2 linked regions of the Caenorhabditis elegans genome follow. The protein of the gene in region 2 interacts with the protein of the main gene of each other region in a pairwise test. Each region holds a gene or a part of one and is shown on either strand. Other genes may lie near its edges. The genes, in order: rmd-3 and Y106G6H.13.

Evidence for each region.
Region 1: the proteins of Y106G6H.13 (region 2) and rmd-3 interact in a two-hybrid assay, tested with the Caenorhabditis elegans proteins (one large-scale study listed by BioGRID).

What each region holds. Positions count from the first base shown.
Region 1 is NC_003280.10:11,337,756-11,341,360, forward strand, and holds rmd-3 (Regulator of microtubule dynamics protein 1), read right to left. Parts: upstream 1,853-3,605; 5' UTR 1,828-1,852; coding exon 1,825-1,827; intron 1,776-1,824; coding exon 1,707-1,775; intron 1,448-1,706; coding exon 947-1,447; intron 900-946; coding exon 795-899; 3' UTR 696-794; downstream 1-695. Other genes in the region: lgc-20 (Neurotransmitter-gated ion-channel ligand-binding domain-containing protein), read right to left, coding at 2,536-2,643, 2,693-2,827, 2,869-2,996, 3,514-3,605.
Region 2 is NC_003279.8:10,469,463-10,472,612, reverse strand, and holds Y106G6H.13 (Reverse transcriptase domain-containing protein), read right to left. Parts: upstream 1,103-3,150; coding exon 686-1,102; downstream 1-685. Other genes in the region: Y106G6H.14 (Osteoclast-stimulating factor 1), read left to right, coding at 26-160, 209-307; duo-3 (ubiquitinyl hydrolase 1), read left to right, coding at 1,557-1,786, 2,033-2,127, 2,177-2,255, 2,591-2,878, 2,933-3,148.

The sequences.
Region 1 (3,605 bases), on a different chromosome or scaffold from region 2:
AATTATCAAATTTAGGATTTCAAAATAATTCGGCCAAAGAAATGTAACTCACCTAGTCTTCGAGAAGCAGAGACTTGTCGATTTCCTACCGGATTCGTCTCCTTTTATTAGGAAATCTTTCCGCAAGTTTTCAAGTTTTTTTTGTTTTTTTTTTACATTACCGACGAGACAGTGTGCGAGACGCAGAGACGATAAAAGACTGGATAAGAACGGGAGATAAGGAGTACGGATGTAGGTGAGGAATGTGGCCGAAAGGACAGATGGGCTTTATTCGGGAAGATTGGTTGGGAAATGAACCAGAGAAGAATGACTGAATAAAGTTGTTGAAACTTGGTGAGAATGGAAGATAGACAATCGAGGGCAGAGTTGGTTGAAAACTATGATGGCTCATCAGTAGATTTGAAGGCAAAATGGGCTTTCTTCGAGTATCGTTAAAATCCAATGAATCAGATTGGAACGATAACGCAGATACAAAAGATAATTAATCTGAAATTGTTAAATAAAGTATCATAATTTATACTTGTTACTTCAGATGGCAAGTTTGGAAACCTTAAGCTATTGGCAAATGTTGAAACATTCATCTGCTTCGAAGAGAACATTTTAAAATATTCGAAAGTGGAAAAGGTTAATCCTGAAAGTGAATGTGCTGCCATCCTTGTTAACATTATGATTCTTTGCATGCCAACCCAGTAAATCTTTTAAACTTTTTATTCTCTACATTTCTACAATACTACAACGCATTTGTGCACGTTATTTAAATATTCTGGCTCGACTTGTCATGTGGAAGCTGAAGCCTAAAGCTTCGACAACATCTGCTTCGCATCATCGGCAAACTCCTGCTCAGCGTCCGAATACGGCTCGATGTCGCAAACTTCAGTGAGATACTTGCGAGCGTTGGCCTGGAATTATTAACTATTTTTTAGAAATTTGCATGAAGCTTCCTTACCTTGTCTTTAATAGCCACGTAGCATTTGGACACGTAGAAAGTGTTCTCCATCCACTTCGGATTGACCTTGTAAGCAGCAAGGAAATCCTCGTTGGCCTCCTCATACGAATGCGATGGTGGTTGCTGATAGAAAGTGGCAGCAAGCTTCTTCTCGAGCCATGTCAGAGACGCCACCGAGTACTTATAACGGCCACGCAAATGGAGAACAGCTGTGTCCTTTGGCTCCTTGGCAAGAGTTTTGTCGAGCAATTCCTTGAACTTCTTACTGCATTCCAACTTTTCCTTGGTTGCCATGTATTCGGTTGCTTGTCCAGTCAACACTGCATTCCACTTCAATGCCTTGAAATGGTTTGGATCCTTCTGGACAGCTTCTTCGGCAAACTTGAGTCCTTCAGTGACACTTGCCTTGCGTTGAGCTTTTGGAACACAAGCTGACTTCTCATGAATCACTTGAGCAAGTCTCCACAAGACTTCCACCGAACGATCGCCTTTGTCGAGACGCTGAAAATAGAAAGAGATGAACAATGAAACTATATTCTTTATAACATCTCTTAAGGCTCTCATGTAGGCGGCAAAGCGCCTGTCTGTCTGGCCTTCGCCTGCCTGCACGTGAACTTCTTTTTTATTTCGTGATTAGACATTCATCAAAACGAGTGGAATCACAAAATTAGAACTATGTGAATTCACGTGGCAGGCAGGTTAAAGGCAGGCCCATGTGCTTATCATGGGAGCCTTAATATCTTCCATATCTAAAACTTACCGCTTTGAGCAAATCATATCCTTGATCACGGTTTTTGGTTCCGAAGGTCTTGTCAATTTCATCAAAATTCTGAAAAAAAAAACGATGAAATTTTTTTTTGAAACTCGATAGAACTTACCATGGTGTGGTTGATCGGTGTTGATTAACAACGGGAAATAATTGATTTGGAAGTTCAAGAAGGGGTGGAGTCTGTGGAATGCCACGTTGCAAGAATTAGGGAATAGGGAGGCCACGGTTTTTCAAAAATTTGATTATTTGAAATTTTTATTGGAAAATAAATTAAATCCTTTCAAGTTTTTTTAGCGTGAAATATTAAGGAATTAAAATAAAATGCAAATTGGCAAAAACAAAGCTCGATAATTAGGTAACTGGAAAATTGCACCTTTCAGGGTTTTTAAGAATTTTTTCAATGAATTAAAAATTACTTTCTATATTTTTTTGACCAACTTTTGATTTAAAAAAGTGTTGAAACATTTTGTAGAATTGCTGAAAATATGTAAGTCCAAAGATAAGTGCTTCGTGCAAAAGTCTTCGACACTACCGTACTCCCATGGCTCTGAAGCCGGAACTTGATTGTGTGTATCAGACTATGAAAAAAATTATTTTAAAAATTTTATCGCAAAAAATATTACAGATACGTAGGCATCACAATGGGACAGAAATTTCCGGTACGGGAGAGAATGGAAAGTTTGTATAAATCAAGTTTGAAGTATAAAAATAAGGCGTGGAAAACAGGACAGATTGACAGATTTTTTTACAGTGCGTAGGCTCAGGTGGTGAACAAAAAAATTTTAAAATGATGATAAGCAAGTTTAAAACTTTCCGCGTTCTAAAAGAATTCCAAGAAAGTCATGAAGAGAAAAACGGAGAACATCAAAGCCGAGAACATGTTGTTCATAGCCAAATAGATGTGCCGCCAATCCTGAGTGTAGTCGAGCTGAAACAATAATTTATAAGTTTCCAAATATTCAGGACCTAAGTTCTACCTCGGCGCCAGGTCTTATCACCGACTGCTGCTGACTAACCTCGCTTGTAGTTCGGCTTTCCGGAGTGTCCTCTTCCACGTAGCGATGATAAGCATCACTTCTTTCCGGCTCAATACAGCATACAACTCGGTTTATCTGAAGATTCTTGTTAGATTTTGAGTTAGGGAAGCGCTTACCAATTTCGCTGAAAGGAATAGCCGATGAGATGGTGGGACGTTTCGTTTGACACGACTGAGAGCCATAACTACAAGCGTTACCAGAATGCTCATAAAGCTGATTGTAAAGATCAGTTCGTAGAAAATGTCTGAAAAGAAATTTCCAGACTTTTATTTTGGTGATGTTTTACTGGCTACTACAGAATATATTGAAGATAATTCTACAGTACTCCACCCGGGTTGGTTCTTCAGAAACCTTTCCGTATTTTCCCTATCCAACTTGCACCCCAATTGCTCTACTTTGATGGCTTATATCTTGGTTGTCATAAGTTTTATCAAAAAATATTTAACTATAAAAATGTAGAGAAGAATTTTTCCCGTCCTTTGTTAGTTGAGCATTTTTTGATAAAATTAAAGACAACCGAGATATAAGCCGTCAAAGTAGAACAAGGTAGAGAAAGTCTAATTGGGAAAGGTACGGCACTTCATTTTTATTGTGCGAGCTAGCAATTTTTCAACTATTCCTTACAATTTGTGAGCTTCAAAAGTTTCATGGGGGCAGTCACAAAAATATCTGACCGTCTTTAAGGCTGAATTTGCCTAACTTGTGCCTACTGCCTGATATCTCAAGTCAGAGAATTAAAGTTTTGAATCAAAAAACCTTACAAATTCGTGGTCTGACTCCAAGAAAACCGTTCAATGGAGTTATGGTGCAAAGGTAGAGAAAGCATAATGTTTGAATATGGAGGGAGAAGAGC
Region 2 (3,150 bases):
GAATCTCTAAAAATTAAATTTTCAGAACAAACTCGGTGATACGCCTCTTCATGCAGCGGCCTACAAAGGCCACGTGGAATGTGTGAGACTTCTTCTCGCTTCGTCAGCCAATCCATTTGTAAGGAATCAAGATCAAAAGCTGCCGAGTGATGTGACAAAAGTAAATATTGTTTTTTATAGAAGTTTTCTATAGAAAAAATAATTCCAGGATGCTGATATCGCTGCTCTTCTAGACAAAGCAATGAAAGAGGATCGTGTGAATGAAGAAGAGTATGCTGAATATTTGTCAGACTCGGATGCTGATTAAGACTATTAAATTTGCAATATTTATTCCTTTTGACATCTTGTAATTATTTCTCAAACACTTGTCGATATTTATTGAAACTTTGCCCAACCTGTGATAAACTTTTTTTTCCCTCTATTCTCCTTTTTCAAATACTCGTTTGAATCGAGGTTTTCTTTACTTTTAATCTTTCTATTTCAGAACTAATGCTATTCAAGTATCGTAGTTTTGCTTTTTAATGTGTGAATAGGGATTGAGAAGTCTTAAATTAAACGATTCTACGACCACCTTGAAATAGATAAGCTGGGTCTCGTCGCGAAAGTCTAGATTTCTCTAATTTTGCGGCTGAATAACGAGTAAATACAGAAACCCAAAATACAAATGTTTACTCATTCCATCAAGTTATATATAGGCATAATCGGATGGTTCACTGGTGTGATAGTCGTTGGTGTAGATGTTTGGGCTCTGAGCAGCATATTGATGATGAGAAGAGACAACATCATTCGTGTTCCATGCATATTGCGACGATTCACTTTTTGGCGGGGCAAAATATTGCTGATTGTCCATAACTGAGCTGTTCATTGTCAGTTGATTCGGGTTCTTCTCGAGCTCCGCGGCCTTCATGGTGCAATAGTCCGACACAACGTGGTTGCGTTGCTCAAAAGCGAGTTGTGAATCAACGATACGAATGATCGCGTCGCCGTCGAGTGGGACATCGGCAATGAATTGTGCCTCAAACATATCACTCTCCGATGCTGGAAGAACGTCGGCGTCGCTCTCCAAACTAGCATCCATGTAGAAGCTCTCGACGTATGCCATCTTGAGTGAGCTGCAAAATACTTATTCATTTTTTTAAATGAATATTAGATAGGAGATTCCGATTATAGTGGAATATCAAGAAGAAATAAATGTTAGAAAATAGCAGTGGCTAGAAGAATCTCCTACCAGCACATCACAAAATTTCAGTCAAAGAGTTTCAGCAGCTCTTTAGGATGTTCTAAAGAAATTCTTCTTGCCACTGATCTCAGCTACCGCTTGCCTTCACAGAATTTCCTGTTAAAGCACTTACTTGATGCGAATCGAAATGTGTTCCTAGGGTTGGACTAAAATCGAAATAATTTGATTTTCGATTTCACTTCACGGGAGGGGAGATTTTTTTTGCCAGATTAGTTTTATTGATAAGCAATTAGAATGTCACGTATGTATAATAATTACTATTTTGCTTTTGTTTCAAATTTCAACGTTAAAATATATTTAAATATCCTGTTTTCAGATGCTGGAAAACTTCTTTATTGACGTGACCATCACAAGACCTCGCATCACACCTATAAGAATGTTGAAGAGACAAATCGAATTCACATCGGATTCTATCAGATTCAGGTGTCCCGGAGGAGGAGACAAAGAGTATTACTATACACAAATGATGTACAAGCCGATAGCGGATAATTCACATACGGGAGCCAAATTGTTGAACATTGAGTTGAATAAACAGTGCGAAGAAAGGTGATTTAATTTTTTTTAAATGAAATATCATATTTTTAAAAAAATCGCTCCTTTAGAATTGAAATTCTACAAAAAACATTTTTGCGGCCTGCTATATCTATAAAATACCATTGTAAAGATACTTCTCTTTAATTTTCGATAATTTCTTGCCAATTTACAAATATTCCAGAATTTCTGTTTAAAGTGAAAATTAGTAATAATCTCAAACTTAAAATCACACTCTCAATTAATAAATATAATTTTCAGTTATATCAAACTTGAATTCACAAGCCACGATGCTCACAGGCACATGGGATGGGTTGTAAATCAGTTTAATAAAATGATTGAAGCCAATAAAGATGGTAAATTAAATTGTATGGCTATTAAAAAAATAAACAATAAATATTTCAGTAATGGAACATCCAAAAAAACGGAATCTTGCAACTTTCTCCTCCAACAAAAGCAGCAATTCCGCTGATCATGGAAAAAAGTAAGTTGAGAATGTCCTGCTACGCACGTCTCCATGGGATACGGCAGCTTTGTGTAGTAGTAAGGAACATGGCAGTTCAATAAAATACTCTATCGTGGCATATTTTAATTTATTTAATTAAAAATTAGAGCCGAGATACATTTAAAACTTAATTTAGATGCATTCTCAGGTGAATTTTATATTCTTTAATTAAACTAATTTTTGATTAAATATATTGTTTCAAATTTCAGTACGCCGAAATTAGGTGATTTTCAGGATTATCAAACAAACTCATGATGTTTTTTATTCAGCCTAAATAAATTAAAAAAAAAACTAAACTTTATTATTATTTTCAGTTCTGAAGACTTGGAAAACTATCTACAGAGGAAACAATCAGCTGATTATCAACAGAAAAAGATGGTAAATCTTCAACATACGCTGACTCCTTCTCCATACGCTTCTTCAACACCAAAACACACTCCAACTAACCAAATGGATCGTTCGAAGATATCTTTCGTCATAAAACCACAAATTAACCTGAAAAACTGCTCGAGGGAGTTGCTTTCTCCGAAATCATCGATATTTTCCTCATCCCCAAAGCCAAAGGAAACGTCTCCATTCTACAAGACAACTCCCACAAAAACGTATGATATTTATTTTATTCTCAAAATTGTTGTAATTCTCTTTATTTTTTTCAGATTTTCATCAACTCCCAAGAATTTAAAACTCGAAAATCTGAAAAGTCCAGAAGATATCAAATCTCCACCGCCTATCAAAAAGAATTTCGTTGCAACACCGTCGACTTCTAAAAGTACTGCTTCTTATTCTTATTCTCGAGAAACACCGAAACGGGAGACACCGGCACGTGAAACGCCATCATATTGGAATCAAGAAGTCAAATATCCAAACAGGCGGT